Mus musculus: one gene and its partners. The protein of the gene in region 1 purifies or fractionates together with the protein of each later gene. This does not show direct contact. Links are inferred from orthologs where the notes say so. Each region holds a gene or a part of one and is shown in the gene's direction. Other genes may lie near its edges.

Region 1 (5,735 bases):
TAGTAGCAGCTCCACCCCCTCCTTCCTGACTAGCTGTAATCATTAGCTACGTTTTGATAAATTAGCTTTGGGATATTTGATTTTCCAATATAAAGTATTTGAAGAAAATCAAGAGCAGTTGTGTCATTCAGGCCGATGTGGCTTGACCCACACTGCCCTGTCTGTCTCAGCATAGTTCTTAACACTGAACAATGGAGAGTACGAAGTTTGTCTGTGTATTTTTGTTTTCAGTAATTTTCTTTCTTTAAATATTTAGATGGATGAGGAGCAAGCCCAGATTGAGGAAGTTCTACAAAGAGGGGAGCATTTGTTACATGAACCTATGGAGGACAGTAAGAAAGAAAAGATCCGCTTGCAGTTGTTACTTTTGCATACTCGTTACAACAAAATTAAGGTAGGTTGCTGTGGTCTCCGCAGCAAAGAAATAACTTACCCAGTTGTACCATCCAGGCTGGGGATGTAATATTTAAAGACACAAGCAATATTCAAGCAAATCACCTAGGGAAATTATATATTTCCCCCTCACTGTCTTTTTAAGTTTAAGTAATTACTGCTTATTTTTTGGAGTTAGGATTGGATCCTATTCCTGGTGTATATTATAGGTTATTTGGGAATTTCCCATCATGCACTCTGATCACACGCACTTCCCAGTCCTCCCATGTCTGCTCCCTTAAATGTAAAAAAAAAAAACAAACCAAAAACCAAAACAAAGACAAGGGGAGGAAGTGGGGGGGGGGAGAGAGGAAGAGAGGAAGAGAGGGGAGGGAAGGGGAGGAAAAAGACCCTCAGACCATTTTGTGTTAAACTTACTTGTGCATGGTCTAGTCCCAATGAGAAAGGGAAACTGAGTCCTTCCCCACCCTTGCCAGAAGCCATCAGTTGTGGAGAGCTACATTTCAGCATCCTTATCACAGCTTTCAAAACTTCTCTTTGATGGCTACCTTCTTAGGCTATTAATTTTTTAGGGGTAGGGTGGAGGTAGGGGTTGTCCCAGAAGCCTCGGTGTTCCTCTTTTTCAACTGTGCATCTGCAGACATTGAAAATACGGCAAGAGTAATATCCTTGTGGTGTTTTAAGTGATGCTGTTCCCCAGAGCTCTATTTTTTGGTAGTTCTTCCTGAAATGAGTTTTATTTGATCACTTCGGAATCTGAGTGGAGTCCTGTGCCTTGGCTTGCTGTCTACCAGCTGTCTCTGACTGCACGTGCCTTGTTGTACGATCCAATGGAAGTTGCCATTGGTGTCGTCCACTTTCCCCATTTCCCTTCTTAGTCTATCCTCTTAAAAAAATAGCCCGTCTGTGTAGATGGAGGAAACTTCATTACCATCCTCACCTATTTTCCTGTTCATTACAGGAAGCAGGACTTACAACGATTAGGCTTTGGACTGAGGATAGTGGTCTGGGAAGTGTGTGTCTCACACGTATGAGGACCTGAGCTGTCTTAGTTCAGTCTCCAGTCTCAGTTTATGTAAAAATGTTAAGCATGGTGGCACAGTGCTGTGATCCCAGTGCTGGAGTGGCAGACAGGAGGATCCCAGGGCTCTGTAGACCAAGCAGTCTCACCTAATTGGTGAGCTCTAGCCATGAGACCAATGAAAGACCCTTCCTCAGTGGGTGGGTGGTGGTCCTGAGGTTGCCTTTTGGCATGAAAGTGGCAGACTGCTGATGAAAGCTGAGGCAGCTTGTGGAGTTTCTGTAGCAATGAAGGTTAAAAGAAGAAAACTTATATTGAATGTTATTTTTATTAGCATTTATTAATTGTGTGATAATGGTTTCATTGTGACATTTTGTGCATGTACATAGTGTGTTTTGATCATAATCACCTGACTTGTGTTTCTTACAACTTTGGTTGACATTCTGGGATTCTTCAACCCCCCCACCCCCAATTTGTTGTTACTTTCATGGGGGGGGGTTAACATACCTGCATTAATATTTTTTTTGAATCTTTTAATAGACAATCCCTATCCAGCAGAGAAAAACAATTCCAGTTTCTTCTGGAATTACATCATCAGCCCTCCCTGCAGATTATTTGGTTGAAATTAATAAAATTTTACTCACTCTGGATGACATTGAATTATCACTTAATATGCCGGAGCTAAACACCACTGTCTACAAAGACTTCTCTTTCCAGGAAGACTCTCTGAAGGTAAAAATCCAAGTGCGGAATGTCCGTTGCCATTGTTAATAGAAAAAGTACAGAAACAAGGCCAATCTCCGGCTCTTCCTGTTTTGCCTTTTCCCTCCCCCTCTCTCCCTCCTCCCCTCCCTCCCTCTCTTCTTTCCTCCTACCCTCTCTCCTTCCCTCCCTCTTTCTCTCTTTCCTCCTCCGTTTTAACCTTTTCCCTCCTTCCCTCCCTTCTTTTCTTTTTTCCTTTCCCCTCATCTTTTTAAAGACAGGGCTTCCTTAGATAGTCCAGGCTAATTGGATGCTCACCCTCCTTTTCTTGCCTGTGGAGAGCTGAGATTACAGGCATGATTGCCGTGCTCAGATGGAAGTTGCTCTTGTACTTATTTAGATAATCCAAATCTTTGATTACTCCAAATTAGCAACAACAGTGTATAAATAGTGAGATTTTACTGTATTCCCTGGTAGGATGCAGCATTTTTTTTTTTCAATTTAAAAAGCATCTAGGTCTGGACTCTTATGAATGCACATTTATTTGCAACAGCAGAGATCTAATTTTAATCTGATGTAAACTCGATTGTCATTTGTGTCAAATGATGTCAGGTCATCCATATTGATTCGAGATTGGCTAGTTGCCCCGTTGTGGAATTGCGTATTGATTGCAAGTTAACATTTTGAGTTCTTTGAAAGTTTTTTCCCATGTATTTGATTGTACTTCTATATAAAGATGTCGTATTATTTCTGATAGATTCAATAATTTATTTTCTCATTTAAGCTACAGTGATTAGGCATTTAAAACTATAATTCTAGAAGTGTCTCCTTTTTTTTTTTTTCACCTACATAGTATGTTAGTAAAGCTACCTTTCCTGTATCCTGCCTTGAAGCCGGTCAGGACATCTAGGAGGGTGCCTTCCCATTCGCCATTGTGATGGTATTCCTCACATTTTGGTGACTCTGAGATTTTTATATAGAAAAGTCCATAAGAAAACCAACAGCGGCAACTAACCTGGACCCTTGGGGGCTCCCAGAGACCGAACCATCAAACAAAGAGCAAGCACAGGCTGGACCTACCCCCCACCCCCAAATGTTACAGATGTGCAGCTTGGTTTGACAATTGTCTGACCTCAGTGGGAGAAGATGCACCTAGTCCTGCAGTGACTTGATGTACCAGGGTGGGGGGATACCCAGGTGGGGCATCCCCCTTCTCAGAAAAGAATGGGAGTGGGATTGAGGAAAGTAGCCATGCAAGGGTCACCAGGAGGAGGGGTGAATGCAATTAGGATGTAAAGTGAAGAAATAAATTGAAAAAAATAGAATCCCCTCATTTGCACACAGAACAGTAATTAGCCCCACTATTACTTTAAATGAGTGTCATACATGTAACTCTTTATCTGTGGTTCTGGTGTTTTGTACAATGATGCGTTTGCAGAGTATCAAAGGTCAACTGGACAGACTTGGAGAGCAGATTGCAGTTGTTCACGAGAAGCAGCCGGATGTCATCGTGGAAGCCTCTGGCCCTGAGGCCATTCAGATCAGGGACATGCTCGCTCAGCTGAATGCAAAATGGGACCGAGTGAATAGAGTGTACAGTGATCGGAGAGGGTAGGTGTGAACTAAGTGAATAGTTATCTCTAAGTCACACGAGTACCAGGCCATGCAGCGTTGACAGAGTCCAAGTGTGCATTAGGATCATGGAAACCATTTTTCATGTATTTCTAATATGACATGATTAATAAATAGAGATGAGCTTCATTCCTTAAAGAGAAATGTGTCCACAGGCACACAGCCATTAAGCACATAATACCTTAATGATATGGGGGCACCTTTAGTTTTTAGCTTAAAAATAATTCTCCCTTTTAATTAGAAAGGATTTTATTAATGTTCCTTTCTCCCACACGGCATGATTAATGTGAATGAGGAACAGAAGCAGCTTCAGGTAATTGGAATTCATATATAACCACAGGCCCGTTCTTCCCGGTTTTTCTGCTCTATAACCTTCTGCTTCATAGGATGTTTCGGAGTTTTTTTTTTTTTTTTTCCTGTTGTTTTTAGACTTCGAACAGGGACCTGTGAATAGGAGTAAAGAAAAATGAGTGTGATCCCCCCCCCCCCCCCAGTAGCTGTGAATGTAGTTAAATGCAAATACAACATGAAATAGCCCAACAACAACAACAACAAAAATAACATGTAATGGAGAATTTACTATAGAGCAATACATTGCAAGTATTCAGATACGAAAGCAAGGAATCATATGGTTAAAATTTTTTTAATTCATGTGACTGTTTAATCAGTGAAGAAGTATGCCTTAATGATCTTTGTTGCTATGTAAATTTATAATATGGTCTCTTTGTGTAGTTAGTGAACATTCTTTTGTACATTTATATATATGTGTGTGTATATGTGTGTGTGTGTGTATTTTTGTTGTTGTTGTTTGTTTGTTTGTTAGAACTGGTATAGTAGTTACTTTCTTCATTGGTGACACAAATGTTGATCAAAGCACCTTAAAAAGGAAGGGTTGTTTTGGTTTATGGTTTCAGGACACACACTTCGCATAACAGGCAAGACATGATCACAGGAGAAGGAGGTTGGCTGGTCACATTTCATCAGCAATCAGGAAGTGTAGAGAGAACAGAAAGTAGGATAAAATAAAACCTGAAAGCCTCCACCAAGCTATGTGCTTCTTCCAGTGAGGCTCTGTCTTCTAAAGATTCTCCAAACAGCGCCACCTGCTGGTGACTATGTGTTCTAACACACGAGCCTATGGGTGACATTTCACATTCAAATCACAGCACTTGGTTATTACATGAAGACAATTAAAAAAGCAAGATGTTGAAACTCGATTTGTATTATAACATGAACTTGGCTACTGTACCCTGCCAGGGATATTTATAAACTCACCCTTCCTTTAGAAGCCTGGCTATTATTGGCAGGAATATTTCTCCAATATTACAGTGATAGCTTCATTGTTGTCTTTCTTTACTGTGCTCTCAATGGGACTTGAAGTTTCTTTGTGCCCAGTAATGGCTCATCTTTGAAACCAAGGGAGTAATACTTACTGTTTAAAATTGTTTTTCTAACTGGAAGATATTATTTATGTATATTTTTGTTTATTTGTGAGTATTTACAGCCTTTTGTATGTCACTCAAAATGGCCTGTACCCTTTGACGTAGAGCCAACTTAGTTTTATGAAATTATATCTTATAGTTGTTTCCTTTATGATTGTATACAGTTAACAAAACTTACATATCCATTCCTTACATTTGCTGTGTCTGAGGAAATAATAATGTATGGTTTGGAAACAATCTTAGTTGCTTGGTTTTGATTTTGGTATGACCTCTGTTCAGGGCCCAGCTCAGGAGCCTTTGTACCACAGCTTCAGTACCATGAGTCTGTGCATGCACCTCTACTTTCCAAAAACCCTTAAGCAACTTTTTGTGCATCTCTAGATAAATATTTACCAGCTCTAATTTGCCTCATTGTTCTTAAAGAAATGACCAATGTCTCCCCATAAGTTTTCATTGTCCTTATAGTTAGCAAAAAATGTCATAATTTAAAGTTATGTTATTGTGTATTAATTTAGTGGTGCTAATTATGCTTTGATGCACCATTC
Region 2 (6,261 bases), on another chromosome or scaffold:
CATTTTAAGTATCACCAAGACAAAGTTAAAATATATCAAATGGAGGAGGGCAGTGTGTTCTCTAAGCTTTTGAAGAAAGAAAGGTCAGAAGGAAATGTTTCTATCTTCTAATGAAGGGCTGGGCCTTCACCAGAGATTTGTCCCTAGAAAGGACTCTGCGTTCAGATGAGCACTGGGGCTATGGTTGCTAAGCTGTATTTTTAACAGAGGTAAGACAATGGTTAAGTTTCAAGTTCGTGCTGCTATTTACTAATTACATGTGCCAGGTATTAAACCTGAGCCTCCACTTCTTCAACAGTAAATGGGAGTGGCCATTACAGAATTGGCCCTCAAGTATTGCCTAGAGGATTGGGTTAACATGTGGAGAGTACTTAGGGCAGGGACTGTAATTACAATCCAACTAGCAACACCACATGCATGCCTCTGGCCTCCTGATAGTCAACTTTGGTCTCCTTTCATTCTGATGTAACTTTCAACCAGGAATCTATTTTCTTTCCATAGAGGTGTGCATACACAGAAGAAAATGTGCTTAGCACAGAGATTCGTGGAAAAGCCCATCCCAGAGCCTGCCATTTCTAATGCCTAATAGATCAATTACTTTGTGGGTGTGTCTGGCATGCATCTACTGCAGAGCCACAGAGGCAAAGCATTAGGATGCTGGCTGGGGGTTTCTGGTCCAGGGACAGGTTAGCTTTGATTTTTTCATCTTCACATTGGCATCCTGGTAGCAATGCCAACGCTAGTGATTTATATTTCAAAAGCAAACACTTAGTGATGAAGGGCCTGAAACCTCAGCCTCTAAACCAAAGGCCAGCTCCCCCCTCCCGACTCTCTCTCTCTCTCTCTCTCTCTCTCTCTCTCCCTCTCTCTCTCCTGTGTGTGTGTGTATGTGTGTCTCTGTCTCTCTGTGTTTCTGTGTGTGACTGTGTCTCTGTCTGTTTCTGTGTGTGTTTCTGTGTCTCTGTGTGTGTTTGTGTGTGTATGTGTGTCTCTGTCTCTGTGTGTCTCTGTCTCTGTGTGTGTCTGTTTCTGTGTATGTCTCTCTCTCTCTCTGTTGCTCTCTGTCTCTCTCCATCTGTCTCTGTCTCTGTTTCTCTCTGTTTTTCTCTGTCTCTCTCTCTCTCTGTCTCTCTCTGTGTCTCTCTGTCTCTCTCTCTCTCTGTCTCTCTCTCTCTCTCTCTCAGGTTTCTTTCCAACAGTGGTGCCAGCTGTGTTAGTTCCCTGGCTAACCCAGTCCAACAGGAAGGACTGAAGAACTTCCTGGGCTCCTGTCCCTGTTGTGGGCAGGTTTACATGAAAAAAAAAATGAAGATTTTTTTTTTTTTGAAGTATAGAAAGTTAAAACTTACAGGAGCAGGACAGTGGCACACCCTGTGTGAGCTGTAGTGACTTCAGTTTCTCAAGAAAGTCTCAAGTATTTTCATTGAGTTCTGTAATCCCTGTCAGGGACTTCACGGGGATTCCTGAGAGTTTTTAAGTATCCTTGATTAAGTAAGTCTGGAAAGAACTAGAGCTGTTTGCTGCAAATACCCATCACAGTGGGGTGATGACATGCATGTTACAGAAGACCCTCTTCCTACTGGCATCTTATCAGGAGCTTCACCTTCCAGAATTAACAGATTCTGCTTTTTATTTTGTCATCTGGAGAAAGGAGAGGGCACAGCAGGAAGACCAGTAAGTCTTAACACAGTTTAAGTGAACTGTGTGGGACCTGCTTAGCAGAACTCTGGGATGTTCAGCCATGGCTTGGGTTACAGTTAAGGTGGCATTTCCTGATTGGCCTAGGAACGGAACCAAGAGTTACAATGCCATCACCTTGGGACAGAGCAGCTTAAGAGCCAAACAAGCAGTTTTCAGGGAACTTGGAGAACAAACCTATTCTTAGCTTTTAAAGAAGACATTTCCTATATGGAATCTAAGAACAAAGGAGGGAGCCCTGAGAAGCGTTTGGGCTGGCACGGGGATGGGGTTGGGGGAAGTATGGAGCAATGCAAAGAGCAGACACTGAGTTAGACACTGTGTCCTGAAGATGAGGCAGACAGTGCCCCGTTGAAATTCAGGGTAGGTACTGAAAGAAAGCCCTCTTGTCTTCAAACTCCCCCAAAAGATGCCTTGCATTGACTTAGAGGATAGGAGTACGTGGCTTGATGAGGCTTCATTCTATGTTCTTGTGACAGTTTTCCCCTGACTTCTGGCACAGCCTAGGATCTCTCTCTCTCTCTCTCTCTCTCTCTCTCTCTCTCTCTCTCTCTCTCCCTCTCCCTCTCCCTCTCCCTCTCCCTCTCCCTCCTCTCTCTCTCTCTCTCTCTCTCTCTCTCTCTCTCTCTCTCTCTCTCTGTAGTTTCCTTCCCAGAGTCCTGGGATGGGGGTGGAGGGAGACTGAGTTGAGGCAGCGAAGGTCTGGTTTGAGGAAGACTTGGATCTTCAAACACCTGCGGGAGGAGAGAGGGGAGTTGACTCAAGAGGATAGAGTGAGCGCACCTACTAAAGGTGAGTGTGGAAACCCGTCGAAAATAGAGGGTTGAGAAGAAAAGGGGGTGGCGGCGGGGTTGGGGTAGTGGTTTGTGACCCGGTAGGTTTGGGGGAGCTGCGGCAAGGTGCGGCTGAGAACTGAGGCACCCGGGTCTGAGCCAGCGCGACGTGGGAGTGTGACGCTGCAGTGGCGAACAGGTGAGCGGCTGGGGCTCCGGGTCCCCGCCCTTGCCTCCTCCTACCGATTCTCTACAGCACTTGGCCGCTCCGCAGCTCCTAGGCTCCTCTCGGTTTGGGGTTTTGCAACTGGCAGCTGGCTTTTTTCCCTCCTCCCCTGTCGAGGGCTCTCCGTCTTCTTTTAGGTTGCTCCACCCCGCCCAGGATCAGGCGAGGGGGAACAAGCTCCGCCGCTGCAACTGGCGCCCGGCGCAGCCGCGAACACGGGGAGTGGAGTCCGGGGTCTGAGCGCGCGCTGCCAGGCATCTGCTTCTTCCGTGCCTCGGTTACCCTGAGTCCTCCCATCCTCACCCCTTCTCTACTTTTCCCCCGTTTGCAATCACATGGCATTTTAAGAATGCTGGAAAGATGGCGGTAGCGGCAGCGGCTGTGGCTGCGCCGGCTGGCGGTGGAGGCGCCCGGGCGCAGCGGAGCGGACTGCTGGAAGTTTTGGTGCGGGATCGCTGGCATAAAGTTCTGGTGAACTTGAGCGAGGACGCCCTGGTGTTGAGCTGCGAGGAGGGCGCTGCGGCGTACAACGGCATAGGGGCTGCCACCAATGGTTCGTTCTGCAGGGGCTCCGGGACCGGGCACCCGGTCCCCGGTGTCGCTCAAGCCCCGGACTCTCCCGCCGGGGTCCGCACCGCCTTCACCGACCTCCCGGAGCAGGTACCTGAGTCCATCTCAAACCAGAAGAGGGGCGTGAAGGTGCTGAAGCAGGAGCTGGGCGGGCTGGGCATTAGCATCAAAGGGGGCAAGGAAAACAAGATGCCCATACTCATCAGCAAGATCTTCAAGGGGCTGGCAGCGGATCAGACCCAAGCCCTGTATGTGGGCGATGCCATCCTGTCGGTGAACGGAGCAGACCTGCGGGACGCCACCCACGACGAGGCAGTGCAGGCATTGAAGCGCGCAGGCAAGGAAGTGCTGCTGGAAGGTAAGGGGTTAACCCTGCGCCGGCCTTATCCCGCAGTTCCACTTACTCTTCTGCGCGTCAGCACACTCACACTCACCAGCCACTTGCCCCAAAGCCCTAGAACCCCACAGTGCCTGTGTTTTGCAAAAGCAGTGGCACGACTTTCTTTTTTGACAACTTTTACTACCTGGGGGCAAACTCATCTTCACTTTGGCCCTGACCCAGGGCGCTGTACTAAAACACTGGAGTGCCTGGGTTTTCCTGGCTTGGATGAAGTGCTTTAGTGCACTGGTGTCGGAAGTTTCATACTTATCGGTACACGTGGTTTCATATTTTTATCTGCGGACAATCCAAATGTAATTTGGAGTCTGGGAAATGGACCGGGAAATGGAGAGTGGACGGAATTTGCATCTGCCCACATTGTAAAGCAGGGCCACTGACTCTAGGCAGCTCTAGTACTTTTCTACTTTGGCAAAAATTTTCACAGCCTAGGCAATCCAGCTGTGAAGACCTGAGAGGTAATAAATAAATAAATAAATAAATAAACAAATAAATAAATAAATAAAAATAAAAGCCAGAGAGAGGTGGCAGTATTTGAATGCTAAAACTCAGCCACCCGTTCCTGCTTCCCTTCCCTCCAGCACCAGAGAGAGTCCATGAGGCTGTGCAGCTTTGAGTAGTGCCAAAGGCTGGGAAAGATGTTGCCAATGTAGGCACAAGTTCACTTCCACTGCAGGGTGTTCAGCCGGTCAGTCCGGATTCCAGGTTCCCCTGGGTGGAGAGCTGGTGAAGTGTTTTCTTTTTTCTGCTGGTGTCTCCTGGAGAAGTGTGAAATCCACTCTGCATTTGTAAACAGATTTCCCTGCCCATGAATATGAAGAACTTTCGAAACGCTCTCTGAAAATCTGGTGTCTTCAACTCTATAATCATCCAATGGGTATAGACTAGGAAGTACCAGTTTGGATGTGGCAATATGGGGGTGGGGGTGGGGGACTCTGAGCGTTTCCTTTGCCCCAGCTCTGGTTTTCTGTCTTTGTAACTCTTAGTACACACTTTGGCTGGCACTCACACTGCGTGATAATTTCATCGATTTTTCTCAGCTTCTTCCTAACTACAGATTGAGTTGTTCAGAGATCCTTTATTTGGATAGGGGGCTCTCCGGAGCTTGTATCCCTCAGTGACATGCATGCAGGTTGAGGGAGTAAATTAACTCAGCTACTGAGACACTATTCCAACCTAGACTTTATAACGTGGTGGTGATTGACTTAAGCCCTTAAACTAAAATGTAATCAGTTCCCTGTTCACCCAACTGTCGTGCTGATGTGTGACTCTGGGAAGCCAACTTGCTTGGCATGTGACAGCAGATGAAAACTACTGGCAATATGTGTCTGCCTCCTAACCTGGAACACAAAGGGGCTTTTCTTTTTTTTAATTTTATTTTATTTTGATTTGTCTAGAAGATTTGTGATGTCTTCATATTTAATTCACTGCCCCCGAATCCAGAACCTAGAAGGCTATTTGGTTTGGCTTGATGATTAACATAAGTAAAGAGGAGAAAAATTCTTGATCAAGAATGTGTTGGTTTGGGTGACAAGGGACAGGTGGGATCTTGTGAGAGTGTAGCTTGGACTATAAACTTCTGGGTGCCTGCTCAGTTTGTAATCAATACTGAAAATGCAGATGGAAGGGGTGACAAATAATCATATTTTACTTCAGGCATGTCCTTTACTACATCCCTTCTTCCTGTCTCTGAATATTTCATGAATTTAATGAATAATAACTTGCCAAGGACATTAAGAAACAACCTGGAGTTGAAAATGATCTTAGAAAAAGGAGTGTGTGTGTGTGTGTGTGTGTGTATGTATGTATATATATATGTGTGTGTATACATATGTATATGTATGGTATGTATGTATGTGTATATGTGTGTATGTGTGTATGTGTATATATATATATATGTGTGTGTGTATGTATGTATATATATATATATATATGTGTGTGTGTGTGTGTGTGTATACATATGTATATGTATGGTATGTATGTATGTGTATATGTGTGTATGTGTGTATGTGTATATATATATGTGTGTGTGTATATACATATGTATATGTATGTATGTGTATATATGTGTATGTGTATATGTGTGTATGTATATGTATGTATATGTATGAGTATATGTGTGTATATGTGTGTATGTATACATGTGTATGTATATATATATGTATATGTGTGTATGTATATGTATGTATGTGTGTATATGTGTGTATGTATGTGTATGCATATATGTGTGTGTGTGAGAGAGCATGTATGTATGTATATGTGTGTATGTATATGTATGTGTATGTGTGTATGTATATATGTGTGTGTGTATGTATGTATGTATGTGTATGTGTGTGTATATATGTGTGTATATATGTGTGTATGTGTGTGTATTTGTGTGTGTGTGTGTGTGAGAGAGAGAGAGAGAGAGAAAGGGTCATGTACTTCTTAAAGAGTGACCAGAAAATGAGTTCTGTAAAAAGCTCTCTAGAGACATTCTAAAGAACACTGCATCATGCTTTGCAGTAAGGACATCTGGAGGAGACCTGGGCATCCCTAGCCCAACTTTTCAATTATTGTCTGCTAGTTAGTGATGCTATGAAGGAAGGTATGACTTC
Region 3 (6,356 bases), on another chromosome or scaffold:
AGGCCAGAAGAGCTTTGTGAGCCCCCATGGGACCAAACCCATGTCCTCTGAAAGAGCAGCAAGCTTGGAACTACTGAGCCACCTCACCATCTACTTGTCTTTGTGGTTTGGTTTGGTTTTAGAGATGGGTGTTTACTGTGTAGCCCTGCTTGTCCTGGAACTCATTATGTAGGCCAGGCTGGCCTCGAACCATCTTTTCTTCTGCCTTTGTTTCTCTCTCTCTCTCTCTCTCTCTTTTAAAAAAGATTTTATTTATTTATTTATTTATTTATTTATTTATTTATTTATTTATTATATGTAAGCACACTGTAGCTATCTTCAGACACTCCAGAAGAGGGCATCATCTTGTTATGGATGGTTGTGAGCCACCATGTGGTTGCTGGGATTTGAACTCTGGACCTTCAGAAGAGCAGTCGGTGCTCTTACCCACTGAGCCATCTCGCCAACCCCCTTTGCTTCTCTCTAGTGCTAAGATTACAGGGGCAGACCACCATACCCAGCTGGAGGAATCCTTTTTGGTTGTCTGTTTTATTTTATTTTATTTTTCGTTCTAGAGATTGACCCCAGGGCCTCCTTCATGGCATGGGAGTTAAAGCTCTCCCACTATCCTACAACCCCAGGAATCCTTATCGTCAACAAGTGCCTATTCTTTTGCCATGAGTTTGTCTTAGAAGGGAGATTTGAAATGAAAATGAAAATGAAAATGAAATGGTCTCTCCAAGCCGGGCGTAGTGGCGCACGCCTTTAATCCCAGCACTTGGGGGGCAGAGGCAGGCGGATTTCTGAGTTCAAGGCCAGCCTGGTCTACAAAGTGAGCTCTAGGACAGCCAGGGCTACACAGAGAAACCCTGTTTCAAAAAACCAAAAAAAAAAAAAAGAGATGGTCTCTCCAGACTTAAACATTGTAGAATATTTTAAAAGTCATTTAGGGCTGGGCATGGCAGTGCACACTTGCAATCAAAGTGGTGAGGAAATGAAGGCCGGGGATCAGTAGTTCAACCATCCTTGGTTACATATCATGGCCAGCCTGGGCTACTTAATACCCTGTTTCCAAAAAAAGCAAAAACAAAAGAACAACAAAAACTTGGATGGACAGGGTGGTTGGTGCACACCTTTAATCCCAGCCCTTGGGAAGCAGAGGCAGCTCCAGGAGTTCTTGGTCAGTCTGGTCTACAGTGGGAAACTGTGTCATAGAATCGAAACTAACAGCAGAAAGGAAATGTTATGTGTAATTTAAAGAAATATTTATTTGTATGTGCCTATGTTTGTGCTTTTATGGGTTTATGTGTATCACTGGCATGCGGGTGCTGGTAGAGGCCAGAGGGCATCATTTCCCCTGGAATTGAAGTTACAAGGGGTAGGGAGCCATCTGATGTGGATGCTGGGACCTGACCAGATTCTCTGGAAAATAGTACAGGCTCTGAATGAGCCAGCATTCTGACCTATGTTGTAGTATTTATCTATTTAACTTTTGTGTATATGAGTGTTTAGCCTGTATGTACGTCTGTGCAACCTAGTGGAAGCCAGAAGGTGTCAAACCACCTAGAACTAGTTAGACAGTTGTTAACCACCATATGGGTGCTGGGTACTAAACCTCAGTCCTCTGGGAGAGCAACCAGTCCTTCCTCTTGACTTCTGAACCATCTCTCCAACTCATTTTATATATATACATATACATACATATGTATATATATTATACACACACACATATATACATATATAATTACATTTTTATTTAGTGTATAGGGTAGCATGCTCATGGAACAATGTTTTAGACTTGGTTCTCCCCTTTCACTATGTGGATCCCCATGGATCAAACTGAGTTATTTTGCTGGCCTTTGTTATGTGATTCCATGCCAAGATCACGCAAGCATTTTTCTCAATACTGAAAAAAATACTGTACCTTAAAGGTGTGTTAAGTTTCAAGGACGCTGACCCAGTGCCTGTCCGACCTGGTGTCTGTCCCAGGCTTTACAGAGGAATGAGGGGACTGACTCAATATAAGGCTGACATAGACTTCTAGAAGCCAAGATAGTCGCAAGATGGGCGGGTGTGCAAAGCAGGAGACAGGCAATAGGATGACACTACACTTGGCAGTTGACTCACACGTTGATAGCAAGGTTGAGCGATAAAGTGGGTTTTATGAGCTAAACATGCGGATGGGAAGTTGGCGTTAGGCTCAAAGGACATCAGTTGTAGGAACAGCTAATAGCGGTATTTTCTAAGTCAAACAACAGGTACAGGTGACCCACGCCTGTTCAAGGTTTGAAAATAACCGAAAACTGACGGAAAGAAACGAAGAGATAGATTCTTAGCCTCGGCAGCTCTCGGGTGTTGCCGGAAATGGCTGACTACCGCTCTCGGCCGAGCGACGGAACGGGGGCGTGGCCGGTTTAGCACACGCGGAGCCTCTTCGGCTGTTTCCGGAAACTGCCGAAAGCTTGCTCCAAGTGGGCGGAGAAAGGCCGGTAGGCGTGGCTGCTGGTTGGCTCTGGAGGTGCGGGGAGTCTCTTCGTGGATTTCCGTAAACAGAGCCGAACCTCGGTCTTCGGAATCTAGGAGGTGCGCGCGTCCCCGGGGATTACCTTCTTCGGTAGTTTCCGGAATTCACCCATCGTCTGGGCCGAGAGGAAAAGGCTCTTCCCCCTCCCGTTCCTAGTTGTTTCGGATGTTTCCGGCTCTTGCCGGCGGAAAGAGCCGAGGGCTGGCGGTGGTGGCGGCCATGTTGGGAGCAGCAGGTCCGGCGGCGGCTGCCTGTGTGTCGGGCGCGGAGCAGTGCGGCTGAGGGCAGGGGAGGAGCGAGGCAGGCGGCCGGCTGCGGCGGTTGAGAGTAGGCGGAGCGGCGCGGCCGGGCCGAAAGGCGGCACAACCCAGCCGGGGGTCGGGGGGGGGGGTGCGGTCCGGAGCCGCTCGGAGCCGGCGAGGCCTAGCCCGAGCGGTGCATCACCGGGCTGGCGTGAGCCATCGCCCGGCCTCCCCGCACCCCCGGCCGGGGCCCATGCAGCGGGTGCTCCTGCTGTGAGAAGCCCCGCCCGGCCGGGCTCCTAGCCTTCCCTTCCCTATCTTCCTCCAAGCTTCTCCATTCCCTCCCCTGAGATACCGGCGCCATGTCCAGCGCTCGGACCCCCCTACCCACGCTGAACGAAAGGGACACGGAGCAGGTAAGGAGCCCTCAGGGCTCCCCTAATTCTGTGACTGGGCCCCTGCACCTTACGGAGGCTCCCTCCCTCAGTTCTCCTCGTGCTCCTGCTTTCTTCTACAAGCCTAGGCTGTCATCTGGCCCTGGGTTCCAGCCCTTCACATCCCTCTTCCGAATCCTGACCTGGGACCCACGTCGTCCTGACTGAACTGCACACTTGTATTTCTGCCAAACGCCCCTCGCCTCTCACCGCCCTCCTGCGCTCTTCCGTGCTATCTCCCCAGCTTCCCCCTCTCTTCCCTTTTCTCTCAGGGGCCTTTCTGGTCTTCCTCCACCCACGCTTAAAGCAGCCACCTTCCTGCTCCTCGAATAATACCCCGCGATTTGCCGCGGATTGTTGCCCACCTCTTTCTGCATCTCTCTAGCTTTGTACCCTCTCTACCCGCACCGGCTCTCACAATCCTCGGTTTTCTCCCTCAAGAGTCCGTGTCTCGGGAGTGTGTTCTCGGTCCCTTTCCCCTTTCACTTCCCCAGCTTTTTCTATCCTCCTTTCCCGTTCCAAATTGGGCTCTCCCTGTTGCTTGCAACCCACCAGCTCCACCCTCGTCACCTTTCCAAATCGTTCGCCTACTCCTTGCTCATCACTTTCCCTTCTTTTCGGCAGGAGCTCCCAGGCTCCTGGCACTGGCATGTGTCGCTTCCGTGTTTCCCATACAGCTGTCATGCGCATAGTTTTCCCACAGGTTGCCTTTGGGGTTCCAGTCACCGCTCCCTTCAGAGTCTTTGGATCACTCCTGTTCTCTTCCCCCTGGGGTTTGGCATTTAAGTCCTTGGGCCTCCTGTCTGAATGCTCTTCCAGATTATCCCTGGGCTCTCCTCTACCGTGGGAAAGTCAGTGTTTTAGTCTGGCTGTATTAACATAACCTGTTGCTCACTCTTTTGCGGGCTGCATCAGCTGCATCAGTCCCTACTTTACTGCCTACTTACACTGCAACACAAATTCCGATACTGTCTTTCCAAACTGGTGGCTGTCACTTCTCATAGTATCATAGTATCTTTCTTGTTTGCTACTTCCTATTGCTCAACCTTCCCCCATCTCTCTTACAATACCTCCTTAATCAGTGCTGCCTTTCCTGTCCTAATGGGTCTCCTCCTCCCCTCCCAGTCTGTTTACAGCTTGTATGCTCTGTCCATTCCCTTTCTCTTAGCTAGCCTTTGCGGGTCCCAGGGTGTATGCTAACTGCTTATGCTGCGCACCAGCTCCTGGGCTGGCCTATGCTCTCCCTTTCTCATCCTGGCAATCACTGCTTTTTGTCACCCAAGCTTTTGCCTTTTCTGTGTCGTCCTCTCACCTATGAGCCATTGCTTCCACTTCACACTTCTCTCCTTTGTTTCACTGTCTCTAGTGTCCCTCTCTGCCTGCCTTTTGGACAGTCCCTTGCCTGTCACATGTTTCTGGGTGAATTTTACTAAACACAAACTCGTTGGAAAGGAGCAGGCTTTACTCAGCACACCCTGGTGTTTCCCTCCTGTTCCCTGTTTTCTCTGTAGCCAGGTAGGCTCGCGATGCTGCTGTGTTTGCTTAGCATCAACTTCCTTCTTTGAGAACCCTCTTTATCTCTTTCCTGTGCTTTGCTGCTGTTACTCTCCTGCTGTCTGTACCTGGAGCTAAAGAAGCATCCGGACAGTTTTCTGACACGATGGACCCATAACACATAGGGGCTGTGTGCTCTTGGGCCAGAGCAGGGGGTTGAGAGGGAGGGATGGTTGATTGATTTCATGCCTGGTCTGGCAGCTAGTCCTGCCTGGGACAGAGATCTTCAGAAACTGAGGAGCTTGGTCTGTGTTGCACAGTCCCTTGCTTGCCAGCAGTGTCTCTTGGGAAACACTTTGTCCAGGCTCTTCTGAGGCTGGTCCGTGCATCCTCCTTTCTCCTACTTCTCGCAGTAGCTAGACCTCAGTTAACTGGAGAACTTTCCCAGACTTGGTTATGAGCAGGGAGAAGGAGGCCAAGTGACTGACTGGTACTTTCAGGCATGTGGGGCGTGGTTGACCTGCCTGTTCCCCAGAGAGGCAGGCTGTGGAGGCACCGTGTTGGGCAGAGTGGCCTCGGTGTGGTTTCTTTGACTGTTTACTAAGTGTAAATGCACTATTGGTCTTCTGTGTGCTCAGATGTGCTCCACACAGTATTGGGTCATGAAGTTGAGGTTTGATGCATGTACACTGATTTCAGGAGAGTGGTAATCAGTGGCCAGTTTGGCACGTGAGCTGCTTCGTGATAACTTGGTCCAGAGCAGAGGCTGCCTTGTCATTCTGCTCCTCTTAGGCTCCATTTCTGTTCTTGGTGGACCGAGCTGCATGCAGTCAGTTCCTGATTCTCCACTCACACTGTCAGCTTCATGTTCTGCCACCGCCTTCGAAAAAACTTGGACTTGGAAAAGCTAGGTGCACACCCTTCCAGGTGCCTAGCTGTTTCTCTTTGTTTCTTGTGCTGCTGATTTGCTCAGAGCCTTGTTCTTGATAGACACGTTATACTCCCCAGCCCAACCCTGTGTGCTTTAGAAACAAAAACAAAAAGCAAGAGTCAGTTCAACATCCACCTTCTTCAGAGTAGACCCGGCTACCAGGTTGAAACTAAATACCTTCTCCTCAGTCCCATTGCACATAGTGAAGCCATTGTGGAAGCTCAGTCATTGCAGTCACCTCAGTGTTAGGAAATAAAAAGCAAAGAATTTGGCTGGGCAGGTCCCTCTCCACCGTCACCTTATTTAGATTTAAATTAGTTAAGCTGGTTTTACCAGAGAATAAGTAAGCAAACTTCTGTGGATGTTTCCAATCTCTTCCTTTTCTCCTTCTTTCTTTAAAATTGTGGCTGATAAGCTGTTTCTAGGAGCTCTTTGATCACTTCTGAAACACACAGAACATGTTGAAGCATAAAAATAAACCTTATGTTGCAGAAGATTGCCTGTTTGCTGTCAACTCTGCTTTTAACAGTGAAAGTAGATAAAAGAAAGCCAAGCTCTGTCTTGAAGATAATTTTGGTGACACCTGATTTCAGATGTGCACTATCACCAGAGATGACTTCCTTTTGCAGGATTCTGACCTGGGGCTAGTGGTTTTGGGGTTTCTAAAGTCTGTGAGCTGAGCTTTCTGTGAGCTGCTTTTCCAAATGCCTCTGCTGGCCTGGAGGCTTCGCAGCCTTGAAAGTAATCAGCAA
Region 4 (5,735 bases), on another chromosome or scaffold:
TGTGCTTCCCTCTTCCCAGATGACCCTGACTTGTGTCAAGTTGACAAAAAAAGGCAGATAATGAGGGCAAACTTAACTTCTACTCCAATGTTCCTTCCCCTTGCCTGCCATTCTTTATCCTACTGGGACCTCTTACTGTTTGTATCTGAGTTTAGTGTGACTTCCTGAGACTTAAAATACTGGAAGAACCAAACTTTGATTCTTCTCAGGATATAATAGGCAGGTCAGAGCTGACCTAACAAACAGAGAGGCAGGCAGTCCTGCATCCAGCTTACTTTACTGTAAAGTCCACATTTTGCTATGTTTCACTTCGTTTTGTTTCTATGTATATTGTTTTTTTTTTTAAATACTCTACTTTTTTTCTAAGATTCCTAATTTTTTTCTAGTGTAGTACTAGACAGGATTATGACAATTATGCTCAACCACACCTGGTTCAGTTTCAGATTTTTTTTCAGGGAGTGGCAAGGGAAATTTGTAGTTTTAAAACCATCTTTTCATAGTGTGAGTAGTTGACTTGGCAAAGTGACCTGCGTGCGCTCATGTGACAGTAGTCCATGGGGCTTGCTCTGCAGAGGAGTCACTTACTGTTTGTATGGCTCACCGTTTTGTCATCTACCTCAATTAAATGCCAAGTTCACGTCTCATGCTGTCTCCTACAGTTATTTCTTAGAGCCTGGATTAGCTGCTGTTAGCTGTCCCATCTGCCAGGACAACTGAAGTACTTAAATTGGTTCAATCACAAGAATGCAAAGTTGTATAAGTTACATGGAGGCTTTGTGTAAAGAGTAACTTGATAATTTTTTTAGAAAGATTTATTTATTTCATTTATATGAGTACACTCTAGCTGTCTTCAGACACACCAGAAGAGGGCATCAGATCCCATTACAGATGGTTGTGAGCCACCATGTGGTTGCTGGGAATTAAACTCAGGACCTCTGGAAGAGCAGTCAGTACTCTTAAACTCTGAGCCATCTTTCCAGCCCAATAACTATTTTTACATACACAAATGCTGTGTGACTTCCTGAGGAGACATGCACAAACATCTATCTACCCAATTTGGTTGCCTCCTACCTTCCTTCTCTCAAATGGATTCTCAGCTCATTCCTCTTATCCCTTGAGATTGTTCCAGAAAGTTCTAGTGGTCCCCTAAACCTCAACACATTTCCCCACACAATGAGTGCTTCCATTCAGCATAGCATTTGCGGGGACTCTGCAGCAAGGGATGGGTACCCTGGTGGCTTTTTCCAGCATGCAGTCACAGCCTCTCACAAACTTCCTGACTTGGAAGGCAGGTGCTCAAAACAGAGTTATCAATAAATGAAATGGATCAAGAAATGAGCAAATAAATATGCAGCTATTAGTAAACAATTTAAAGTTATCTGTTAAAGTATATAATCAAGGTTGTTATTATTCTCTTTCTAGAAATCACCTGCTAAGAAGCTAACGAATGCATTAAGCAAGTCCCTGAGCTGTGCTTCAAGCCGTGAACCTTTGCACCCCATGTTCCCAGACCAGCCTGAAAAGCCACTCAACTTGGCTCACATCGTGTGAGTATCTCTGGCACAGACTAAGATGTGATGTCCTTCACTTACACATGTCTGGAGCCTTCCTACCAAGACAAGTTCACATAATTTGTCAGGGACCAAGTTTTATTTACTCTTTTACGTTTTTTGTAGTTAGCATATAAAGAAATGAGGTTCATTGTAAACCTCACATTTATATCATTACTGTTTGTTCATATCCAACCCCCTTGACCTTCCTCTATACCTCTTTCCCTTCTTGCTGGTCCCCTTCACCCCAAATAACTCCCCTTCTAGTTTCATCCCATACACACATGTGCACACAGAGGCGGGGGGGGGGGGGACACGCGCACGCGCACACACACACACACTCGTAAGCTTAAATATCTCTAAGTATAAAAGCAAGATAGTGCTGATATAGGCCAAACACCCACAAAACCAATATGTAAGCCACTCTATAGAATGTGGTTAACTTACTTTTTAACTTCTTTGTTTTTCAAACCATGCTCTGATAAGTAAACCAGAAGTACATCATCAGGGTAGTATCCCAGGGGCACAACTGCTTATAGTGATACCACACAGGAGTTGTTAGCTAAAGTCTACACTTGCCCTTGGCATCACCAAAGAGGCACAAAATTCAAGTTGCCCAGGATAGAGTACAAGGTCAAGCAAGTGTATGCTGTGTGAATTCTGCTGAGACTCACTTTCCAATCACTACTGCAGTAGAGCAGAGTGAGGAGGGTGCTGCCACAGAGGGGTGAGTCACAGGAGTCCCCTCAAACTTTCCCAGCCCAGGGCCTAGTACAGTCAGCACTTGGGACTCTGTGTGTGTCTGTGTGTCTGTATGTGTCTGTGTGTCTGTGTGTATACATATATGTGTATTGATATGTATGTGTATATGCATGTGTGTATTAGTGTGTATATGTATGTGTATGTATGTGTACATATGTGTATGTCTTTATATGTATGTGTATATTAGCGTGTATGTGTATGTATTTACATCTGTGTGTGTATGTGTGTACATGTATGTGTATATGTGTAGGTTTGTGTGTATTAGTGTGTATGTGTATGAATATGTATGTATGTAAATGTGTGTATGTGTACATGTGTGGTTTTGTGTATATTCATGTGTGTATTTGTGTGTATGTATATTATGTGTATGTGTGTATATGTGTGTATGTGTATATATGTGTCTGTATATTATTTTAATGTGCTTTATAAAATATATGACATTTAGTAGCAGGTTCTTTCATCACAAGTCTTTTATCAAGCACTATACAATGAAAGTAAGAGAATGAACACTTTAATAAATAGGGGACACTATTACCTCCCTGCACACTTAATGCTCTCGATGTGTTATTTCCGAATGTGACTTAAAACAGAAAACTCCAAGGCTGGAGAGGTGACACAGCAGTTAAGAGAACTGACTGCCCTAAGAGGACCAAGTTTCGCTCCAGTACATACCCAGCAGCTCACAACTGTCCGTAGATAACTCAACTCCAGGGGACACACAATTACCACTTCAGGCTAACCCGGGCACCAAGAATGCATGTGGACACTTACATACATGTAGGCAAACACCCATGCCTACAAAATAAAAATTATTAATAAAATATCTTTTTAAAAAGCAGAAGGAGGACTATGGCCATAGAACAAAAACATAAGGAGCATGGATGATCTTTGTTGTTACTTTTTATTCTCTGGAAAAAAACATACTGAAGAAATTTTAAAATTATTTTATTAACTGTGGTACAAACCTCATCTTTTCAGTGTTTGGACATGTGTTTACATACATTTGCCAATATATAAATATTCCAGTGCACCACCGATGCACATAATAAGCTCACAGGCAGAGGCAGGTAGGAGGCAGCAAGTATGGATTAGGAGTGTTACTAGTTGTTGTGTGAGTGCACTGAGTGTCCTAGAGGTTGAAGAATTGAGAATTACGGCACAAACGCAAAATAAAGCATTCGTTAATTTTTTTAGTTTGAAAAGTATATTAATTTATAAATTACTATCAAATTTTCAAAGTTACTATTTAGGAAAAAAATCACAGCAGTGAATATTTATGAGAAGCTAATTGCACGCACTTGTGTGCTGTGGAACATGTCTGTGCTAGCAAGCCCACGTGTTTGGAATGTAATACTGTCCTCTTCAGGGCACATCTTGCCATGCTTGTGTTAAAACCTGGTGTTACTTTCCTAAAAGTTGTATCCAGTCATGAGCAAAGAGAAGTCATTATAAGGTCTGCAAGTATAAAGTGAGGCAAAAACTCATGGCTTATGCTTAGACATACAGAGCAAATTAATTAGAAAATATTTTCATTAAGGCTATTTAAAGGTCCAACTTCCTGCTATGGAAAAATGGCAAAAAAATATGAGGGTGATATGGCTGTGTAACTAACTAAACATTTCTCAAGAAGCTTTAGAGTAAAGAGAGATTGGGTCAATGGAGCATTTAAACAGCCAGGTGGGGTAGCACACAGGAGGCAGAGGCTGGTAGATCTCTATGAGTTTGAGGTCAGCCTGGACTATGTAGCAAGTTCCAGTCTAGCTGGGGTTACATAGTGAGACCCTGTCTCAAGAAAGAACAACAACAAATTAGGTTGTGGTACTGCTAACTCAAGTACAGGCACAATCATACTTGCATATAGAAATGAAACATTAAAGAGAAATGCTCTTGCCTTCAAGAGTCGGGGGATTTTATGTACGTGTAGAGAAATGACACTGTCAGTTATGAGTTAGCTCTTAAGTGGAGATGAGCAGGCAGTGGCATTTTGGTATTTCAGCCTGTGTGCTTAACTATCCTGTACTCGTAAATGTTGTCGTGATTAACAGTATCTCTTCTGTTCCACTTCCTTGCTGCCAAAAGTGATACTTGGTAAGTGATGAACACCCCCACACATACTTACATAAATTAGCAATCCCAATGGTAAGTAGTTACGAGACTGAAAATGAGTGGACCACATAAGGCTACTTGGTAGCTAATCTTGCCTTCAGCTTAACCTTTGTACCTATGAGGAGAAAGTCAATGATAGGTTTTTATACGTTCTCTGTTAAGATTCATACAGGAAAAAAAATCTTTGCATGTTGCCTCTGAGAGCCATTGTTCATGTGGGGTTGTTTCATTTTATTAACACTTTACCATCTCCCATGTGGTACTAAGGAAAGTGATAGAGGGAGGCAGGAACTTTACTTACTCTCAAATCTTCCATATTTTGCTCCAAGTTCAATGCATTGATTGGTACCTCTTAATCGGAAACAATTTGCTAAGAAGCTCCAATTTTAGTTTTGTGGTGACCAGTTTCAGAAAAGAAAATCAGCCAGGCTAGTTGAAAGGCGTTCTCAATCCATTTGCCTTCCATCTCCTAGATATAAAACAAAAATGGGAAAAGTTCTTTTTTTTTCCTTTTGTCAAAGTAAAGCAAGAACTGTGGGGTCAATTTTAACTTTTTGCAAAGCTGCAGTGTACATCATTCACCCTGACTGCTGTTTTAAATCTAATGTGCCTTCCTAATTATAGAGGACATTAAATGCAATGATCGTCCCTCCTGTAAAATTAAGTTATTCACATTAAAGCACTCTTATGTTGTTCCCTTGTTACAAAGATGCATCCTGGGTGAGTAATCCAAAACTCTGAGATTGTTTGCTGAACCCTGGTTGATATATCCAGAGTGGCATATTAAATATGATGTATGACTTCATACAAGAAGCAATGTGCCACACAAACTTTTAGAATGTAGTATGGCTCCAGATACCAAGAAGAAGCTTCAGTGAATTTTCACAGCCAGTGCTGATTTTCAAATCTTCAGTATATCACATCAGACAGGATGAACAAGTCTACTCTTTGCTGCTAAAGGCAAAAATCCAAAACTAATTTGGGTTAATGTATGCATTTACATTAGCTAACTGCAAATCAACTCTTTAGACTACTGCAACTAATGTCTCATCTCCAAAATATTCTATACTGTCAATTTAGAATATGTAAATGTAAATGTAGAATTATACTAAAACTAAAATTTCCTCTTGAAGCTTGAAATGCAACTCTGTCAGTAGAGTGCTTGCCTAGCATGCACAAAGCCAAGATGGATTCTCAGCACCACAAGTGATCCCATCCTGCAGGAGCTGAATGTAGGAGAATCAGAAATTTAAGGTCATTCTCAGTAGTATAGTGAGTTTGAGGCTAGCCTGGGCTACACAAGAGCCCATCTCAATA
Region 5 (6,469 bases), on another chromosome or scaffold:
AAAAAAGAAAATTGCCATTTTACAAGACACAAAACAGTCTTTCAAGATGATTATAACTGGGGCCTGTAGAAGACAGCTGTCAGTGAAGCATGGGGGCTGAGTCTGAGCTCCAGTGCATAAATACAGAGCTGAGTGTGAGGAGCACATGTGTTTCATGTGAGGAGTACTTGTGTTTCATTTGGGGAACACTTGTCATTTCAGTGCTGCAGAGTCAGACAGAGATGGGTGGATCCTGGGGGTTGCTGTTGGGCTAGCCTAGCATACTCAAGAAGCCCCAGGCCAGTGAGGGAACTTGTCTTAAAAAAGCAACCAAGATGGATAGCTCCTGACATTGTCCTCTGGCTTCCACACACATGCCCACATATGTGCATAAGATACAGCACACACATATGTAGCTAACTATACACAGATCTGCACATATATCACAAAAATTATTTTAATTGTATATGTTTATGGGGTACCATAGGATAATCTGACATGTGAATATACAGTAGGTGGTGAACAATCAGGGTGGCTAATATTTATATCTTCTTAAAACATTTTCAAAATCTTTAATTAATGGAATAACTGTACATATTTATAAATGACCATGCATATTTCAATACATGTATGCAATATATGATGACAAGGTATGGTGTGCTGGCTATTTTTTTAAATTTTTTTTGTCAACTAGATACAAATTACAATCATTTGGGAAGAAACATTACTCAATTGAGTAATGTTTCCTTCAGATTGACATGCAGGAAGTCCGTAGGAAAAAAAAGTGTTTTGTTTTTCATTAATGATTGATGTAGGAGGGTTGAGCCTACTGTGGGTTGTGATGTCCTTGGGCAGATGGTCCTGAGTCACAGAAGAAATCTGACTGAGCTGGCTATGGAGTAAGCACGGTTCCTCCAGGGTCTCTGCTTCAGCTCCTGCCTCCAGGTTCTGAATGCTCCAGGTGTCTGAGGCACCGTGCTGGTTCCTGTAGCTTCAGTTTCATACTCTACCTCTTTGCAACAGAGTCAAGGTTTTTACCCATCAATGCCTTCCCCATAGTAGGAGCTCAACACATGGTAAGAAACTAAAGGTCTCTTGACATAGTCTGAGGATCCTTACATGGTTACAGCAGCCACCACCTAGCAACCAGTGAGACTCTTCCAAACATGCAAAACAGTCACACAATTCATGTGTGAAAAGTAATGTATCCCCTCTCACACAAAAAACCTCACTTACTCTAAGTTATCAGCACAGCACTGCCTTCACCATGGGAATTTAAAAATAGATTGTGAGAAGAGGAGGAAAAGGGTGTCCTAGAGGCAGGCTGCCAGTCTGATTGAAGCAGGTGGCATGATCTGCCTTTCCATAAGGTGCCAGAAGGCTTCAAAAAGCATCCCTAAAGCACACAGGCCTACTGCTGCTTTCCTTAACATGTGCACATCCACACGCACCAAAAGTCTAATGGATCATGCCGCTGTCTTAAAGTTGAGGGAAAACATTTATCTTTTGAGCCATTAAAAGAAGACTTTGATGTCCCTAGAGAGTTTGGAAAAGCTTCTATAAAAAATGGCAATATGAGGGGCTGGAGAGATAGCTAAGTAGTTAAGAGCACTTGCTATGTTATCAGAGGACCTGGGTTTGATTCCCCAGCATCCAGGTGTCATTTCACACTCTTCTGGCCTCGGGGTGGCACTCACAGGGTGCACACACATTGCAGCCCAAACACTCATACACATAAAATAAAGTCCTTTAAAAAAATGATATGAAGCGGGGGGGGGGGGGGGGGGTAGTGGCGCACGCCTTTAATCCCAGCACTAGGGAGGCAGAGTCAGGCGGATTTCTGAGTTCGAGGCCAGCCTGGTCTACAAAGTGAGTTCCAGGACAGTCAGGGCTACACAGAGAAACCCTGTCTCGAAAAACCAAAACCAAAAAAAAAAAAAAAAGAGTTGGTAATGAATAAATAAATAAATAGATGCTAGATAAATAAATGAAGCTTTGTCGCCCCTGCTCCGTTGCTCAAGCTGTTTAATGTCTAAATAGTCCCACTTTTAGGAACTACTGAACAACTAAGCGGAAAGTAATGTCTCTCCTTCATCCTCTCACCGCATCCGGCTGTGGCTTGGCTTTGCGCAGGGGACCAGACTCGGTCCTTCGCAAGGCTGCTCTTCTCCCTAAGTTATGCATTCTTGGGGACCAGGGGCCGTGACCCGGATCGTGTCCATCGGGCACCAGGCGCGGAGTCAGGGCTCAGCGAGCCTGCTGAGGCAATGTGGAAAGTCACTCGGGGGAGGACCCGCGCTCGAGGCAATGATTCACCGGGTGTTTCTTCGCATTCCTTAAGGTGCAGTCACGTCGGCGCAGCACGCAGCCGCCCGGCAGCTACCTGTGGAGTGGAAGGGCAAGTCCACCTCCACCTCCGCGGCCGGCGCACAGCAGAGGCCCGGAGGGGGCGCGCGAACCCGCGGGAGGGCACTCGGCCGCCTCCCCGCCCCCTCTCGCGGCGGAAGCCCCGCCCCTCCGCGCGCCCGCCCTCCGCGCGCACCCGCCCTCGCCCTCGCGCCCTCGCGCCCTCGCGCCGGGGGCGGGCTCGCTGCGCGTGCCGGGCGGGGAAGCGGCGCGAGCCGGCGCCGTTCCGTTCGCCGCGGGGGCGGCTCCGGGGCCTGAGTGGGCGCCGCCGCCTCAGTCGCTGCTTGCTGCTTCAGCCGCCTCAGCCGAGGGGGCCGGGTTGGAGGAGGCTGCGGCCGCCGGAGAGCCACGCGACGGCCCCTCAGCTCCGGCCGGGAAGCGAGCCAGGTGGGGAGTCCGCCGGGGCTGGAGGAGCGAGAAGGAGGGCTGCGGGGTGGCGGAGTGCGCGGCCCTGGAGCGGCGACCCTTGGGAGACAGCACGCCGGGCCGGGGAGGGCTCTCCGGTCACCCGCGCGCGCGGGGGCCCGCGGAGCGCAGAGCCGGGCTGCGCGCGCTGCTGATGCATCCTGAGCCCGGCTGGCGGGGAGGAGGCTCCGCGTTAGGTGCTGAAGGGGGCGAAGGCGGCAGGTCCTGGCAGAGGGCAGGTGAGGTAGGCAGGCCCTGGCAGAGGGAAGGGAATTCATTCCAGATCACCTCTCAGTGTCCCCCGAGGCTCCCGGTAGACGAACCTGTCCACCCAGGTCACCCCTGTTGGGCACAGTGTCCGGAGAAGAGGGAGGATGCAGCTGACGAATGCTTGCTGTTAAATTTCTGTGCCAGGCCTTAGGGAATCAGGGAGACCTTCCAGCATTCTCTGCAAGCGTTTATTGATTAGCTACGGAGCAGGAGAGAACCGCGGTCAGCGCCTGGGTCACGACTTTATCACTCTCAGCCATCTTTTGCTGTTGAAGTGCTGACAGTTCGGCTGTGAAAGTATGCACACAAAATGTAAAGTGCTCTATTTCATGTTTCCTGTTCTGTTCACTTCAGGTCCCTTTAGGATTTTCCCAGCCCTGGGAAACTGGAGCCGTAAGTTGCTTGGTTTGTGGAGAAAGTAAGATAGTTGAGGAAAGCTGGTGGGAACTATTGAGAAGAGATTTGAAGGATCTTACTGACATTTAAAAGAGGGGTGGGGAGGGGGAGAAGAAATCTGGAAGAAGAATCTTGCCTTCCCAGCTAGAATTAAGCTCCGTGCCTGTTTTCTGTTCAGTCCTCCGGATGTGGCCTGGATCCCAGCAGCCCTACAGTGGATGCCCACTGCAGAATGGATGGAGGAAGCAGGGGCTTGAGTGTCAGTCTCTGTAGAGTTAGGGATGATCGCTGGACTTCCTTTGGTCCTCGGATTCTCTTTTTGCCTCTTCAGGTAACCCAGGCACTGGTAGGTTAAAACAGTGGCTTAGGTGGCAGACTCCGGTGGCCTGTGGCCACTCTTCTTCATCCACGTGGTTCTTGCATGTTGTGCACCAGGAGCTTAATCTCTGGGTGGTGCTCTGGTCTTTTCTCTCTTTGGCTTTTTTCTGGTCGTTTGAGGAGGATGGGAGGGTGCTTTTGCTTAGAGAACACTTTATAATTTCTGTCCTGCCTCTCGGATCTTGGTTCTGAAGGGAGAGAATGCTTCTTTCTGTCTCTTTAGTTCTGTAAGGGCTGGACTTCTGTCCTCCACCTTGCCTGGACTCTCCAGTCCCAGGCTGCTGCTTCCTTTCCCTCGCTTGCAGTGCCTGTTGGATTACTTTGCTTGCCAAAGTAAAACTTGACCTTTTATGTGTTCTCTGAGGATTTTTAGCAGACTTAAGTGGAGCTACCTCTGAAGGGGTTGTGCAGTCAAGGTGGTGCTGGCAGAGTCTTTATGTTCACTGAATTTTGCCCAGGAGACAGAATTTCTACTTAAAGTATTAGCGTGCAGAGGATTTCCGTTTATCATTTATTTCATGTCTTGGATGTTAACATAACTGACTCCTCATATAAAAAATGAGAGCAATATTAATCCAGACTTGTCATTGCATGTATAATAAGCCTTCATTTATTTTATTTTAATTACTCTGTACTTCAGAGTATAATCATTAAGTTTCGATTAGGTTTTGTTTTAGGGTGCCTTGTTTCAGGCACTTCTAACATTTTATTTAGATATTTAATTTACATTTATTTGAAAATAAACCCTCTGTCCCCGGTTTTTTTTTTTTTAAATAGGCTCTTGCTGAATAGCTCCAGCTGGCTTGGTACTCGATATACTGTAGCCCAGGTTGTAAGCTGGCTTTGAACTTATGGCTATCCTTCTATTAGTCCCTTCTGTGAACCACCATACCTGATTAAAACAAACCTTTTCTTTCGTCTTTTGTCTTTTTCCTTTTTTTTTTTTTTTTGATAGGGTCTCTCTGTGTCATTCTGACTAACTTTGAACTTGTCTATCCTCCTATCTATGTGCCCTGGAATTACAGGTGTGCACTACTGTGCTGTCTTGATGTGTAGTTTACATAGGATGAGATGGGTAGATTTTGCATGTTGAGCTGGGTGTTTATAAAATGGTACATATTGTGGGTGTGGCGGCGCATGTCTTTCCATCTCAGCCCCTGGGAGGCAGAAGCGAGTTCATTACTTCACAGTGCCACCACTGCCTGGCTCTGAATGGTTTTTAATGGAACCCAGAGAATGCTTTTAGATTTGTTACAAGAAGATATCTAGGGCAGTGGTGGCACAAGCCTTTAATCCCAGTACTAGGGAGGCAGAGGCAGGTGAATTTCTGTGTTCGAGGCCAGCCTGGTCTACAAAGTGAGTTCCAGGACAGCCAGAGCTACACGGAAAAACCCTCAAAAGACAAAAAAAAAAAAAGTTTATTTTCTCTGGCACTTCTTTTAATCTGAAAGAGAAAAGAATAAGAATTGGAGGGCTGGAGAGATGGCTCAGTGGTTAAGAGCACTGACTGCTCTTCTGAAGGCCGTGAGTTCAAATCACAGCAACCACATGGTAGCTTACAACCATCCATAATGACATCTGATGCCTTCTGGTGTGTCTGAAGACAGCTACAGTGTATTTACATAAAATAATAAATCTTTAAAAAAAAAAGAATAAGAATTGGAGGAAGGGTATTTGAGGATTTTCCTGAAATGAGCAAGGGAGTTAGGTTTGTTTTTGTTTTTAATTAAAGGTGTAATTGACTGTATTAGTCACGGAAGTCTGATTGATTTTTCAGGAGACTGTGTATTTGCACATGGCTTTCCAGAGTGCTTTGTGTGCCTGTGTCTCTGCTTGTGTGTGCTAGTGCATGTGGAGGCGAGAGGACAACCTGGGATGTTGTTCCTGGGGCACCACACACCTTGGTTTCTGAGCTAGCTTCTCTTACTGGCTTCAGGTTGGCAGATTTGGCTGGTCTGCCTGGCTTGAGAGCACTGAAGAACTACCTGTCTCTGCCTTCTCAGGGCTGAGAGTATAACAGTTTGTCACCAAGCCTGGGTTATTAATTTACTTATCTCTTTGCTTATGTATGTGTGGTGTGTATGTTTATATGTGGAAGCCAGAGACCGATGTGTGGTGTCTTCCTTGAGTTCTTCTCTGCCTTACTGCAAGCAGGTCTCTCACCTGAATCCAGAGTTTGCTGATTTAGCTAACCTGTAAGGGCCATTTCAAATATCCAAATCCCAATTCTCACACTGTATGACCACTGCTTTACCCTACTGCACTTTCTCCATCCAGCCCCAAGCATTTTTAAAAAACATGGTTCGTGAATTCAGATCTTGGTGTCCGCAAGGCAAGTGCTGAGCCAGCTTCCTAGCCCATACCTGAATGCTTTGATGTGACTGATGGCTCTTTTCACACTTACTGCGAGTGCTCAGATGCTCTGTCTCTCGCTCTGCTCTAGTCTGCGTGCTGTGGTAGTTACTCTGCCTCTGCTTGCAGACCATGTCCAGCTCTGTAGCACAGTGCTTTCCCAGGACAGGACAGACAGGAGGATTCTTGTTGTCCTCTCCCCCACATCTCATCGAGGGCATCACTGTTTTGGGAATTTCCTTACTTTTTCATTTATTCCTGCTTGCTTTGCAAAGGTGGAGAG

What was found.
Region 2: the proteins of Utrn (region 1) and Sntb1 purify together in Homo sapiens (affinity purification with mass spectrometry; 3 studies listed by BioGRID and IntAct, with this or other methods). This does not show direct contact. The link is inferred for Mus musculus from reciprocal best matches to the Homo sapiens genes UTRN and SNTB1.
Region 3: the proteins of Utrn (region 1) and Mark2 purify together in Homo sapiens (affinity purification with mass spectrometry; 4 studies listed by BioGRID and IntAct, with this or other methods). This does not show direct contact. The link is inferred for Mus musculus from reciprocal best matches to the Homo sapiens genes UTRN and MARK2.
Region 4: the proteins of Utrn (region 1) and Dtna purify together in Homo sapiens (affinity purification with mass spectrometry; 3 studies listed by BioGRID and IntAct, with this or other methods). This does not show direct contact. The link is inferred for Mus musculus from reciprocal best matches to the Homo sapiens genes UTRN and DTNA.
Region 5: the proteins of Utrn (region 1) and Dtnb purify together in Homo sapiens (affinity purification with mass spectrometry; 3 studies listed by BioGRID and IntAct, with this or other methods). This does not show direct contact. The link is inferred for Mus musculus from reciprocal best matches to the Homo sapiens genes UTRN and DTNB.

What each region holds. Positions count from the first base shown.
Region 1 is NC_000076.6:12,661,358-12,667,092, reverse strand, and holds part of Utrn (utrophin), read left to right. Parts: intron 1-256; coding exon 257-394; intron 395-1,954; coding exon 1,955-2,146; intron 2,147-3,554; coding exon 3,555-3,727; intron 3,728-5,735.
Region 2 is NC_000081.6:55,903,388-55,909,648, reverse strand, and holds the start of Sntb1 (beta-1-syntrophin), read left to right. Parts: upstream 1-2,699; 5' UTR 2,700-3,057; coding exon 3,058-3,625; intron 3,626-6,261. UniProt on the Homo sapiens protein: Adapter protein that binds to and probably organizes the subcellular localization of a variety of membrane proteins. May link various receptors to the actin cytoskeleton and the dystrophin glycoprotein complex.
Region 3 is NC_000085.6:7,337,973-7,344,328, reverse strand, and holds the start of Mark2 (serine/threonine-protein kinase MARK2), read left to right. Parts: upstream 1-2,468; 5' UTR 2,469-3,107; coding exon 3,108-3,161; intron 3,162-6,356. UniProt on the Homo sapiens protein: Serine/threonine-protein kinase. Involved in cell polarity and microtubule dynamics regulation. Phosphorylates CRTC2/TORC2, DCX, HDAC7, KIF13B, MAP2, MAP4 and RAB11FIP2. Phosphorylates the microtubule-associated protein MAPT/TAU.
Region 4 is NC_000084.6:23,596,012-23,601,746, forward strand, and holds part of Dtna (dystrobrevin alpha), read left to right. Parts: intron 1-1,422; coding exon 1,423-1,547; intron 1,548-4,391; coding exon of another isoform or gene 4,392-4,400; intron 4,401-5,735. UniProt on the Homo sapiens protein: May be involved in the formation and stability of synapses as well as being involved in the clustering of nicotinic acetylcholine receptors.
Region 5 is NC_000078.6:3,569,876-3,576,344, forward strand, and holds the start of Dtnb (dystrobrevin beta), read left to right. Parts: upstream 1-2,515; 5' UTR 2,516-2,772; exon of another isoform or gene 2,773-3,034; intron 3,035-3,108; exon of another isoform or gene 3,109-3,357; intron 3,358-6,469.